Linked DNA regions of Mytilus edulis. The protein of the gene in region 2 purifies or fractionates together with the protein of the main gene of each other region. This does not show direct contact. Links are inferred from orthologs where the notes say so. Each region holds a gene or a part of one and is shown on either strand. Other genes may lie near its edges.

Region 1 (7,362 bases), on a different chromosome or scaffold from region 2:
ACGGTAAAAGATCAAGAATAAATAAAAGAAGCAAACACGATTAACAAAACTAGAAATACAAATGAGTTAAACTTGTCAACTCATTATAGGAGTAATTCACCTCAGCTGACGATGTAAATACTGAAGATGAAGAGTAACTGTAGACGGCAACATTGGTCAGCAAGACAAGTTCTACAAATAGATAAGCAAAGCATAATACTTTCAAAATTACATAAAGGCCAGTTTATCAAAACCTTCCTGTGTTTTTAGCACATGGTTGTGTATGCCTGGCTTTTAAATAAAATGTACTAAACATCATTGTTAACAACGCTTCACTGAAGATGACTTGTCGTTCGATGATATTGTCAGTTTCACAATTTGAATACGTTTTGGCTTTTATCGTTCGTTTAGGTCGTGCTGGTATGACAAAATTGTCGGCTGGCAGAGCCGGCACCAGACCCCCAACCACCTTAAATCAGAATAAGACGGAGGCTGTGTCTTCTTTCTTCTTGCGTCTCTATTTCAAGTTGTCGTCTCATGTTTGTTATGGACCCTGTTTCTCGACTCCTGTAATTTTTCTTGATGAATCGTATGCCTCTGATTTGGATACGTTCTAATTTGTCAATATCCCCTTTCATATATGGGTTCCAGATTGTTGCGCCATATTCCATTGTCGATCTTACTAGGGATATGTATGCCACTTTCCTACATGCCTCTGGTACGTTCCTCAAGTTCCTCCTAAGAAAGCCCAAGGTGGAATTGGCTTTCTTGCTGATGTTGTTTATGTGGAAACTCCATTTCAGGTCGTTTGAGATTTGGAGTCCCAAGTACGGGTTCACTTGTACCTCTTGTAGGATGTGTTTGTTAAGCGTGTAGAATTTGTCTGTTTTTTGTTTATGGATAGAATATAGCCCTTTTTGGCATTGAAACGCATTCCCCATTTGTCGGCCCAGATTTCTAGTTGTTCCAGATCTGTTTGTAGTTTTTGTTGGTCTTGGCTATTTTTAATTGTTCTGTATAGTAGGCAATCGTCAGCAAATAGTCTTACTGATGATGTTACACTGTCTGGTAGGTCATTGGTGTGGCACAGGAACAGGATTGGTCCTAAGACTGTGCCCTGGGGGACCCCAGAGTCAACTGTTGTTTCGCTAGATGGTTCGCATTGATCTTGCAGTTAGGAAGTTCTTAAGCCATTTGTGATCTGGTCTTAGGCACTTTGTAAAAAATCCGCGCTCTGAATCAAACATTGCTTATTTATCCGTCTGCTGAAACCGACATTATAAAGTTTCCTCATATTTTTATGGACAATTTATTTGTTACGTTTTGGGAGGTGTTGCTCATTAAATAATCGGCATTCCCTGTGAATAAATTGTGCTCCTCTTCAGTATTGCCGATTCATTCCTTTATAAGGTATCTTGTACCTCCCTATATAGGTGTATGTACCTATTTTTAACTTGCATGGTGTGTCTCTATTTGAATTACTTTAATATAATATTTGTCTTCGAAATCAGTTTTATTCGCAGAAAATAAACAAGAAGTTTACCCTTATCTCATTGAAGTATGTATACCCTTTTACGTTCAATATGGTAACTAAATATATTACACGAATAATACTTTTTATATTTATAGGTTTGTGGTTACAAAGTTTATACTGGTAAGCCATGTGATTATATGAATCACGTACATCGTTGCATTGCAAATATATTCATCAATAAATAAACCATCTTTTGTGTTTTTTAGCACAAGAGCATACTTATACATTGTCAATAATTTATAATATATGGGAAGTATTTATTATTCATACATTACCACAAGACTACGTGTTTTCCGTCAAAATAACACTGAGAACGAAATTTGTGTTTTCTTCTACTAATACAATAAAATTGAGAATAGAAAAGGCGAATGTATCAAAGAGACACCAATCGGACTAAGACCAATGGGTCATCAATGCAGCGAGTAAATCTCGAACCCGGAGGCGTGCTTCAGCTGGCCCCTAATCAAAAAAGTATCATAGTTGAGTGATAATGGACGTCATACTTAACTCCGAAATATATAAAAAAAAAAACTAAAAAAAAAAAAAAAACTAAAATTTAAAATCATACAAGACTTAAACAAAGGCCAGAGGCTCCCGACTTGGGACAAAATGCGGCAGGTTTAACATTTTTTTTTTAGACCTCAACCCTCCCCCTATGTATATCATTTGAGTACATTTCACCATTATTTCGTAAATTGACGCATCCGCCATGAGACAGTTGAAAACATAAAACTCCTATATTCCACTACATACATCAAAGCAGCTGTTTATATTACATTAAAAGAGCTCACAGTAGGAGCACTTTGTCAGATCGAGAACTTTCATATCTGACTACAGAGTATGCGATTTGCTTATTGTTGAAGGTCATACCTTTAATGAATAATAAGACATAAGACATAAAGCTTTTTATAGAGATGGTATATACATTACAAGTACAAACATAAGCTCTGAAGAACTTTTTAAACCGAGCTATTACACTGGTGGATAGTTGTCTCGTTGGTAATCATACCACATCTCTTTATTTTTGGTTATAAATAACAATATTGGACATTCACTTAAACAAAAACAATTAAGTACAACGTAAAAAGAACTTGAATGTATATTAATACATATATAAATATTCATTAATATTGGTTCAATTGTCATATAAATGCCTTGATTATGAGACACTATGTTTTCAAAACGCTAGGCATTGTTGTTACTTTGAACAAGTTTTCGCTTGTGGAATCTTGTCTCCATAATTTCTGTATTCTTTATTTTTCTAAGGTAATTCTCTTTATCTTTAGAAATAACGCTTAGTATGTATCTTCATAAAATCATTTTACTATCACATTTTCTGTAATAAGATGAATTATTCATTCTGTGCATAGTTCATTTCTGTAATCGGTATCATAAGGGACATATAATACAAATGTATTACATGTCTCTGGTATCATATTACTTTTTTTGTTAATTTTCCCTAATTGGTTTTTTGCTGAATTTTGTCATACATTGCAACTTATAACAATACAGAAACAGGTCCACAATAAGTGGTGCACTGTTAGTTCCCATTGGAACTCCGATAACTTGACGATATACTGAATCTCCATAAGGCGAATAGAAATGTTATTTAGCAAAAATTTAAGGGCAGTTATAGTATCAAAACAGTTCCAATTGACATAGTTCTTTTGTTTGTTGTTACTAAAAAAAATGACAAAAAAGGTACGCATTCTGACTTTTCAATGACCATTTAATTATATGTGTTTTTTTTAAATAAGATAATAAAGTAAAGTGGTATATAGAGTAGAAAATTAAAAATTTGAACAGATTCGAAGTCACCAAAATAAGCATGCAAATTATCAAATACTTCCAACCAATTTTTGACACTCCCAAAGGTAATTATTTCAACAATTTTCAAATGTCTTATTTGAACTGTGACCACAATTTCTAAAATTTCCCGGGTTAAACTATCGTAAGAAGTCTTCTGAGAGATCTTTCCTGCACTTATTCCTTTTCAAAAGATTTTTTCCCGCTTCGGTTGCAACTTGGGCCAAATGGACACTGAATAGTTGAAATTTGATAGAATGACAGAATAGTAGGATGTTAACCTGTCCAGCTGGATGAAATGTTTATCCATTCGTTTTAGAATACTGACATATTTTGTCTTGATGCCTTTTTTACATATTTCCGGTCAACCTCGACCACAATATTTAAAGTCTCAGAAATAAGTAGCCTGGCATGAATCCATGCCGTATTATACTATATCCTCAAACTTCAACAAAGAAACGGACGTAATTAACGAACGAGTTTAAATTGTAATATGACATATTGTGTCAAATGTAACTTATAATAATCAAAATGTAAAAAGGAGGCAAAAACAAAAGACAACATCACACTGGAAAAGGAAAATTAACATTAAAGAACGAACAATCGACTCATTCAATTGTCGTAAAGTTTTTGCACAGTTTTCTAGATCTGTGTGCAAGTAAAGTTATAACTACAACATGAAATTTATTAATAAAGAAAGAATCTGAAATTAATAAAAAAAATATTTGCAATAGACAAAGACATATATGTATTATACTCTGCTGTAGCTAAGTATTCGCAATTATTCCTGTAAATTCCTATTTTGTAGCGCGGACCTTAAAGAGGACACCTCTACATTAAAAAACATAACTGTAAATCGCAGGTACTTCCGCGTTAAGACCACAACAAGTTCCAATGGAATGTGTGAGATTGTGATTAATTTAAAAGATACTGGACTCACAAATTGATAAACTAAGCTGAGTTTGATATGTTAATGCTCAATGCGTATAATAAAGATAACCAAATATGTCTAGAAAGTAACAAACGTGTTGGTTTAACATATCACTCCGCAATACCGCCATTGTTACAAAGAAAACACAAAGTTATGTGTATTCGCTATCTAAGGAATGTGTGTAAAATTAATTAATGGAATTTATGAGATTGACATTAAAGTGTGGAACAAGATGGATTTTATTTGAATAATTAGGATATAAACAATGGTAAAATATTGAAGAATTGATCATTTTGAATTATTTTTGGGTAAATATCAGCGTGTGAAACACATTCCTGTGTGTGGACCGTATCAAAACAATACATTAATGATAATGGCCAATCTACAGTCATTAGAGCAGGAGACTGCACGAATCAGAATGATGCAGAGTCATAAGTCTTCACCAGCAAATCTAATATCAAATTCAGATAGATATCTTAAATTTGAAAGCTTAACACAACAAAACAAATTGCCACCAAAACCTGGGGGTCAGATTGAGGGTCAAGTTGAACAAGGACATCAAATGAATCCTGGAAATATTAATGAAATGAATAGAAGTATTTACATTTCTCGTCAAGCATATCCAGCACCTAGTCATGAATACATGTTGAATCAACACTTCTCTCAAAATATGACAGTCACTAACAACCCACATGTAATGGCAAATTCTCAACACAATTTGAATTACAAGGTTGTGAAGCAGGGTACGGATCATTATAATTCCACATTGAATTACAGCAGTGGTGGAGACTCAAAGAATTCCAGTCCGAGGACTAGTATGATTAACTCCCACCCTCCACCACCATATGATCAACAGAAATTTGGAAGTCCTAGATCAAGTTTAGCGAGTCCACGTTCAAGCATTAGTGGCGCCTCATTGGAAAGTAAACATTCAAGCCCAAGAACAAGTTTAGCGGGAATGTCTGGTGTGATGTATGACAAATTTCCTAGTCCGCGAACGAGTGTTGTGTTGTCACAGGATCATGGAGTACCTAATTCATATGGACATACTTTTTATCAAGGTGTTCCACAAAATGTTGCACATCGGAATATGTCTTTAATGAATGAAAGTAGATTTAATGAACATGCTCCTCCACATATTCAACATCATGTGCCTGGTGTTCATATGACAAATAATAATAATGAAATAATTTATCAACATAGACAACATTCGTCATCTCCACATAATAGTGTTTCTAATCTTACTGGAATACAAAACGAGTCCCATATAGGACAGTCCCAAACGTTTACACCTCCACCTGCAATACCTGCACGAGTTCCAATTCACCAGAATGGTATTCATCAAAATCATTTGGATGCTGAACAAACTTTGGCAACATTAACTCAACAGTTGCAGGACAATATGAGAATAACAACGTCTCGTAAGAATTCTTTAGAATCACCAGTACCTAAAAATCCACCTCCTCCATATCATGGTCCTCATAAAACTGAACCTGTGCCAGTTATACCACCGAGAAATCCACGTTATACACAGACATCACAACCTACTTCCCAACAGAGAATGTTTGCTCCGGGGGTGGTGTCACAGTCGTCTGGTCACATTGGGCGTACACCACCGTCAGCAGCAGTTCGTCCTCAAGCTCAATTACCTTACAGTGTAACACCACCTTCAAAAGGTCCCACAGAAGCAGAGAAAAAAATAGCAGCATTAACTCAACAGTTAGAGGATGAATTTGAAAAGACACCACAGGGTGAATATTTTGGTGAGTTTTCATTGCTTTGTGTATGCAAACATAGTTAGTTTTCAATTGATCTAATCTGAAGTTGAGTTGTTTTCCTTGCCACCTCTAGCTTGTTGTGGTTGAATGTACAACAAAAAAAATCAACTGCATTAAACTTTATATGCAAAACAAATTGAAGTACAGACTCCTTCCTGACTTGGCCCTGGCAGGCACAAAAGAATGTGGTGACATTAAACTTGTACATGATTTTGAGAACTAAACACAGTAAGCAATGCTAAGCCTTCCTATGAACCTGGAACAGTGATGACACAGCACATAACTAATGAACAAACTGTCAAATTCAGTCGGTAATTGCTTATACATACATTTACATGTACATGTAATTTATAAGCCATTTTTAGCTCACCTGGCCTAAAAGGCCATGTGAGCTTTTCTCATCACTTGGCGTCCGTCGTCGTCGTCGTCGTCGTCGTCGTCGTCTGTCGTCGTTAACAATTTTTCAAACATCTTCTCCTCTGAAACTACTGAATGGATTTGAATGAAACTTTACATGATTGTTCCTTAGTATATCCTGCACAAAATGTGCGCTTCGATTTTTGATCCGTCAAAAAACATGGCCGCCGTTACTTAAAATAGAACATAGGGGTCAAATGCAGTTTTTGGCTTATATCTCAAAAACGAAAGCATTTAGAGCAAATCTGACATGGGGTAAAAATGTTCATTAGGTCAAGATCTATCAGCCCTGAAATTTTCAGATGAATCAAACAAACCATTGTTGGGTTGCTGCCACTTAATTGGTAATTTTAAGGAAATTTTGCAGTTTTTGGTCATTATCTTGAATATTATTATAGATAAAGATAAACTGTAAACAGCAAAAAAGATCAGCAAAGTAAGATCTACAAATAAGTTAATATGACCAAAATTGTCAATTGACCCCTTAAGGGGTTATTGTCCTTTAATGACAATTTTTCACAATTTGTTCATCATATTTGCTAACTTTAAAAAATCTTCTCCTCTGAAACTACTGAATGGATTTGGTTAAAACTTAGCATGGTTGTTCCTTAGATTATCCTGCACAAAGTGTGTGCTTTGATTTTTGATCCGTCAAAAAACATGGCCGCCATTACTTAAAATAGAACATAGGGGTCAAATGCAGTTTTTGGCTTATATCTCAAAAACGAAAGCATTAAGAGCAAATCTGACAGGAGTAAAAATGTTCATTAGGTCAATATCTATCAGCCCTGAAATTTTCAGATGAATCAAACATCCAATTGTTGGGTTGCTGCCACTTAATTGGTAATTTTAAGGAAATTTTGCAGTTTTTGGTCATTATCTTGAATATTATTATAGATAAAGATAAACTGTAAACA
Region 2 (7,740 bases):
AAATAAACTAAGTTGGGAAACAGGTTTGAGAACTTCCCCACAGATAATAATTGAAGTGAGCTATTTTGATTGACATGGACAATAGATGGACAATAGATACCTGACAATAATTGGTTATTTAAACTGTGTACCTGAGTGGACCGTATCAAGAGAAACTTTTGACTGTTTGTTAATTTTATCATCTTCTGCAGGGACGAAAAAAAGTGCACGGCTCAATCCAGTTAAGGAACCAAGACCTTGCATTCTGGCAATTTATCTTACACACACATGAAGTTTTCCAAAACAATTGTTTTCAACATGTTCAAGGAAATTAATACAAATGGACATTTAAATTCAGCATAACAGAAATGACATCATTGACAACACATATCCAGTGAAAGTGTGTGTTTAAATGAAGGCCCGTTTCGAATAATGATCAGTTCTGGAGGATGCTAGGCTTATTATTGAAAGTAAGGGCCAATGAATCCATGCCCATGGACATGATGGTAAATGGTTTTTCAAGAGAACAAACTGCAAACATGGACCTATAGAGAATAATATCCCTACGGCAATTTATTCTGAGGAAATTGTTTAAGTTGTCCACCCTCAGAACCCAACAAGGGACTAAATTATTTATACTTTAGTTGTCATGGTAAATGTACCCTATCATCACCAGCTGCATACCAACCATCACCCCAAACTCAGGTCAAATAATAACACAATTATCCTTCCTTATTTATGCCATGTCATCATACAGTAACCGCTAATTTTGGGGTTACTTACAATCCAGATGTTTTTTCTTTGGCCCCATGACTTCTTCTGTAGTCGCTTTACATACAACCTTGGCCAACCCTTGGCCCGAGAGGCTGTGTTTAGCCGCAGTCATGCGATCTAAAATACTCTGTCCTGACATTTTGACTAACTATATGGTTAGAACACTCAGGAGTCACCAAGGGTCTTCTCTGACCCAAATGAGTGTGTTGAAATGCTCTAAATACACAAAAAGGGGTGGATACGGCGACCAATAATATTCAAGATGGCTGTTTCATTAATCAATCTCCGAAACAGAGGCGATCGGATTTTTTTGTTACACTAAGTTTACGCCGGTTTACTACAAAAATTATTAGCTTTTTTAAAAGCTCGGCAAAATGTACTGTTCTTTATAGGCACTGCTACGATTACATGAAACTGCAACAATCATAAAAAATAAATGCTCCGCAGAGCGCAGCTGGATACGACCGAAGTTCAAGCCTGAACAGTTGGGGTCGCAAAAATAGACGCAATATACAAGCTTGATATCTGACATACAAGTCTGAATTTGGATTGTAAATTAATGTGTTTGGATTACCTCCCTTACACTGCTTTTAGATCAAGACAACAGTAGTATACCGCTGTTTGAAACTCATAAATCGTCGATTGAGAAAAAAAATCCCTCTTACAACTTGAACTAAAGCTGAGGGAATATAGTTATCAAAAGTACCAGGAAACCATTAACGAGGAAACCCTTGTTTTTCCTCTCTTTTGCCCCTAATGCCTAACCAGTTTGAGCCATAATCCCCAAAGTAAGCCTAAGCATCCCTTTGTGGTATGGAAACTTGTGGTATAATTTCAGAGTGATCCATACACCGTTCCAAAAGTTGTTGTCTGGAAACTAGAAAAAAGCATATTTGTGGCCCCTTTTCAACCCCTGATTTCTATACTGTTCGGTCTTTAAATGTCACAGTATCCGATGTGATTCAATGAATCTAAATTCTTAAGAATTTTAAAATTCTCTTCTCTTGTTTTTGATTATTTTGCCAGATATTCGGAATCCTCCAGTTTCATTCATAAAACGCCATTAAAAGTTATGCTCAATTACCCACATCTTTTTTCGCAATTTTAGTGCATATATCTAAAAAAGACATATTTTCCAAACTTTTGATTTTTTTGGATTTTTTTAATGGTGCCAATATTCTATGTAGGAACAATCTAGAGAGAATCATTTCTCGCCAAATTTTCGATACCTTATATCTCGAAAAAAAAAGGTTGTTATTTTGAAACAGAGTAGTGAGCATTCTCAAGTAGATGATTAGTATTACTAGTACCAACCGTGCAAGGGCTGTATAGCCAGTCAAGGTCGTTAAAAGCTTTCATTTGTTACTAATATGATGATTCAGTCATGGGGTAATGCAAATTTGTAATTGTAATGCAAGGTAATGAATTCCCTTTCAAAGTAAAAGTATGTAATGTGTTATATTAATGCAGCAATTTTATTATATGTGAATATAGCGCAAAATTAGAGAAACAGATTCACCACAAACCTCGTGTATTATGATATTTATCCATATCAACAGTTAAATCTTAATTATCCGTTAAAAAGCTCGGCAAGTATCGCACTTTAAGGTGGTATGGGAGTCTAAATTAAAAATGATAGAATTTGTTCATGCTAAAACATAGCATTTATCGATATGTTCAAAAATATAATAAAAAGGCGGTGGCTATTTTGCCGGCTCCGGCAAAATGGCTGTTTATAAAGAATTTTGCTATTTTGCCGGTCTTAATAAAGAGTAAAATAGAAGTACATGTATAGAAATAAAGAGAAACATACACTTCAATAAGAAATTTCCATACAACTATGTCAGTCTTCTTTATACATATATAAATACAAATCGTGCATATTAAATTTGATATTCTGTACAGTCTTTTTAAAACATTTTAAAAGTAAACGCATTAAAATTGATACAAGTACTTTTTTTCTTCGATAGAAGCTATTTTAAAATAAAATCTTTAAAAAAAATATACAATACCAGAGAAATATAGAATATACGTCTCTGATAATATACATAAGAGAAGCATACGAACCCATGTAAAAAAATCGACATTCTGATACAAACTTATAAAAATATCCTTTTAGTTTTGATACAAAAAGTAACACCCAACAACTCAAACTGCTTAACGAGAGTTACAAAACCAGTGTCTTGCTTCTTGGTGGTTTTTTTTTCTAAGTCTGGCACCATAAAGGTGCTGCCACTTCAAACATGAAGTTAACATAATACTTCAACGATTTTTTTGCGTCAGCATCACTTATGCAAAATTTGCTCGGTTATACATTTCAGTATTCAAAATTCATAGAATAAATGCTGTTTGAATAGCTAGATTTCTATGCATTGTGTGTACAATATTTGTGTGTTTATTTTATAATACTTTATTGCACCATAGACAATACATTAATTATTATTAAAGTTTTGTCTGGTTTTCATGAATTTTATAGTCGATGTTTCACGTTTCAAAGTACTCCAAAACCGGCTTAAACTCTTCATATCAATTTGAAAATCAAGTTTGTTTGATAACAAATTTTCCATTTTCGAACGTTCAATGTTCAACAGAAATTAACGTATGTATAAAAAAAAACCGGAAAATTTGGTAGGATTTCCAATCAGACAACTCACCGCAAGAGACCAAATGACACGGAAATTAACTACTATACGTCACGTACGGCCTTCAACAATGACAAAAGCCGCTTAATCAGGCGTCTATAAAAATAACATGTATACATCTCACAAAAACACAGTACATGTAATTAAATGAGTGCAGTTCACCAAAATTGATTATGACTAGGAAGGCAAGGCGAACAAAAAGTTTATTAATTGACATTTAGCCACATATAAATTTTGTACATGAATAGTTTCCCTTAAAAATATATTTCATATAGTCTTGCCATGATTAAAAATCTGAAATAAGACCGGTAATTTAGTGGTTGTCTTTTGTTTATGTGTTGCATATTTGTTTTTCGTTCATTTTTTATATAAATAATGCCGTTAGTTTTCTCGTTTGAACTGTTTTACATTGTCATATCGGGGCCTTTTATAGCTGACTATGCGGCATGGACTTTGCTTATTGTTGAAGGCCGTACGGTGACCTATAGTTGTTAATGTCTGTGTCATTTTGGTCTCTTGTGACCAGTTGTCTCATTGGCTATCATACTTCATCTTATTTTTTATAAAATAGAAAAACTCTATATTATAAATCGCTAGCTATTTCGACGGCACCGGCAAATAGCATCTTAAAGTCACCGTACATTTTCTCAAGCTACAGGATGTGACAAATGGCAAATTTTGTATGGATTATACAGGAAAAAAACACCCGATTATGTGATTAGAAGCTAAACTAAGAATTGTAAATAAAATACGAGATATTTTTAAGAAAATGCATCGAGAATATCAAAAGAGAAGATAGGGTCACCGTGTGTATTTTTAAGCTAAATTACAAAATAACTAAATTCCACAGTAAAGATTTCCTCAGAAAATGCACCATTGTAGAGTTATCTCCCCTTTAAAATGCCTATTTCAAATCATTAAAAATCTAGCAAAAAATAATCTACACTTTCAAAATTATTAATATTAATAATCTTATAAATGTGTTCTTTCAAATGCAAATTCACATAAGTTATCGGCATTCTTGCATTAAATTTTGCTAATTTGTTTGAAAATCTGGACCTTAGATTTTTGTTTTTTTTCCAATCCAAGTTGTCGAAAGACACCCATATCAGTTACATACCGGCCGGGAGTAATTCATACCTAAGAAGAAGATCCCGGCGGGCACATTTTTATACAACCAGATAAAAACATATATTAACTCCCTTTCAATGAACGGGATGCCGAAAAGAGAGAGAAATGCACAGTGCCCCCGTGGAAATGCTATTCGCAACACGATTTACACACATAACACACGTGGTTAATTTTTGTACGAAAGTCACGTGAAAATAATGGAATGTCAACAATGCTGTAAAAAGGGCGTACCTCTGTCAATCAAATAGCTTGATGGAAAAGTCCATAAATGAAATATCAGAAGGTAGAGCGGCATGAATTTTATCAATTGGAGATTACTTGCTCCTAAGATAAATAATTTATTACTTATATTTCTTACAGTTCAAAATATCATATGTTCTGCTAAAATATAAATTTACTCGTCCATAGTTAATTTTAAGAATAAAGATGTAGGTCAAACAACCTGCTACGGAATTTGTGTTTCTTAGACTCGTCCATTTTGGATAGTGGCCGTATTCAGTGCCAGATTTCGACAGAGATTCTTGGGTGAGTGTTATTTGTTTTGCTGCTTGTGTCACCAGAAACAAGTAAAATGAAAATGAAACTACACATTTTAAAAAAAGTAACGAACTTTATTTACTAGAAGTTACAAATTTTGATATGGGACTAGATGCATCCGAACAACATGGCGGATACCAAAAAGGTGTTAAAAACCAACAGGTTAAAGTATATTGTCGTTTACCTATTTTTTATCAGATAATAAAATATCAAAAACAAGAATATATGAGGAACAGTTGATTACACCACAGCAAAACGACTGATTGTATTTTGAGAAAGTTGTCCAGAAAGACTGCTTAATATTCTTCAAATATTTACATTTTTATTGACATTGTATAAATACCTATTAATTTAAGTATCATATATACTGTTTAAGTACAATGTACCATGCAGTAACAAACAGGCACATTACATATTTTGTTATTTTTATCATGCAGTGTTCCCAAACATTTGGTTATTATCAAGCAGTTAAGTTGCCAATTTTCATCAGCTGGTACATGTATTTTATGCAATTATTTTCTATTGATGAGGGGGCCTCGTTTGCCAAAGTCGAAGTCGTAGTCGTACTACTGCAATCACTAGCCAGTCAACACTAAGGTTGTGAGTTCGACCCCACTTGTGCGGGTGTACTCTACTCCAATCTTAATTGACTAGGATTGTCAGTTTTCCTATCGAAGGTCAGTGGTTTTCACCAGACACTCCGGCTTCTTCCACCAATAAAATCTGGCTGCCATGAAATAGCCTAAATGTGGTGCTTAATAGTGGTGTTTAACACCAAAAATCAAATCAAATCTATAGTTGAGTATTAATATATTTATATATAGTGGATTTGGGTATCTTGTTATTTCAACTTATTAATCCCTTTTCACTTTGCTCATGTTGCTGGTGCAAGTGTTGCTTTGTAATGGCATTAGCCTGCTCTTTTTATCAGATCTATAAGTAACAAGGGTGTACATGTCTTATACATGCAAGAGATATATTGGTCTTTCTTACTTATTGATGAATATTCAGTTTTTAGTTGAATATTAAGAAGATGTGGTAAGAGTGCCAATGAGACAACTTTCCATCCAAGTCACATTTTGTAGAAGTAAATCATTAATGGTCAAAGTACAGTCTTCAACACAAAACCTTGGCTCACACCAAACAGTAAGCTATAAATTCCCCAAAATGACTAGTGTACAATGGTGTACATGTTGTACATCATGTACATGTTAAACCTTTCAAATTGGTAAACCAACGGTCTAACCTACATGTATATGGTTCTAACCTATATGAGAAACGAGAAACACTTATGAACCACATCAACAAATGACAACCACTGAACATCAGGTCATGATCAGTATAACAATCATAAAATTGAGAATGGAAATGGGGAATGTGCCAAAGAGACAATCGTATACATGTACCAGAAAATATTTACCTCATATTATGTTTTTAAAGTCTATTCCATACATAAGAATAACAAGAGCATGTACATATTTGTATATGAAAGTGGCTCACTACCACATCGTTGCTGAATGCAAGCTTTATTATATATGCCATCATTCATAAATACCATATGAGAATAAAGAGATGTTGTATGAATGCCAATGAGAAAATGGCCCTTAAAGAAATGACTATCTCACTTAGCAGTACCTGAAAGGGCTGGTCAGTGACTTGAAGAGGCGACCTCTTTAGTGTCTAGGTGACCAGATTTTATAGAAAACTAAGCATGTGGGAGATTACATTTCAATTCTTCTAAAAGTCATGTTTTAATCATCAGAATATAAAAATCCTTGTTGTCTTCTCCTGTGGACAGACTTGGTTAACTTGGCCCAGGACTTTTCTGACTGTAAATTAGACTTCTAGGATCATTATCTTCCTATTATGCCCCAGTTTATTCTGGGTAGATTTGTCAAGTACTCTACCAAAAGTATTTGTAATAACCGTTACATTAGGTCATGATGAACACACAGGACAATGATCATGATGATAACAAAATTGATGAATAAAATATAGCAGGGGTCATAATAAGGCACAGCTAGAATAAATAAAACCAGGACTTAGGATGACTATTCGGGTGACCAGGATTACTGCTTAGAGCAGATCTGTGTTTTCTGAGCAATATAAATAAATATTTTGACTTGCACAGAATCATTCAGTAGTTCTGAAATTTTAATGGTACAAAACATATATCAAGACCGGGCAGCCAAAATAAAAATATAAAAATAAGTATAAAATTAAAGCAGTAACTTAATCAGTGTTGTATTCTCATTAAGGGTAGCAGTAAAATATTGAATTGATTACTAAATAAGAAATCAGGACAGCCCTTTATTTAAACCATGAAGGAATCAGAAACAAAACCACTATTGACATTTTCTCTAATATATCATGCTAGCAGTACTGCACAATTTGCACACCCTTTCTTGTAGTTTGATTTTATTTTAGCACCAATAGAAATAAAAAATCTGTCTTATGTTTAGAGCAATTATAAAATTGTTTTTGTCAATATTTCTTATTTGAAAAGGTGAACAATGATTTAAATGGCATAAATTGTATACAAGTAATGCATATTTTTGTATCAATACCTTAAACAATGTTATTACAGTAAATAAAACAAAATGTGTTTTGCTATATTTTATGAAAAAGATCAAGAATATTTTTTGATTTTATAGGTTTGCTCAAGTCTGCATACAAG

What was found. The genes of interacting proteins can lie anywhere in the genome.
Region 1: the proteins of serine/threonine-protein kinase LATS1-like (region 2) and Wilms tumor protein 1-interacting protein homolog purify together in Drosophila melanogaster (affinity purification with western blotting; 4 studies listed by BioGRID). This does not show direct contact. The link is inferred for Mytilus edulis from reciprocal best matches to the Drosophila melanogaster genes wts and jub.

The regions. Positions count from the first base shown.
Region 1 is NC_092348.1:6,307,268-6,314,629, forward strand, and holds the start of Wilms tumor protein 1-interacting protein homolog, read left to right. Parts: upstream 1-4,354; 5' UTR 4,355-4,617; coding exon 4,618-6,013; intron 6,014-7,362. UniProt on the Drosophila melanogaster protein: Regulates organ size by inhibiting apoptosis and promoting cell proliferation by influencing the expression of G1/S-specific cyclin-E (CycE) and apoptosis 1 inhibitor (th). Negatively regulates the Hippo signaling pathway.
Region 2 is NC_092353.1:65,163,507-65,171,246, forward strand, and holds the start of serine/threonine-protein kinase LATS1-like, read left to right. Parts: upstream 1-4,736; 5' UTR 4,737-5,051; exon of another isoform or gene 5,052-5,225; intron 5,226-7,740. UniProt on the Drosophila melanogaster protein: Negative regulator of Yorkie (Yki) in the Hippo/SWH (Sav/Wts/Hpo) signaling pathway that plays a pivotal role in organ size control and tumor suppression by restricting proliferation and promoting apoptosis.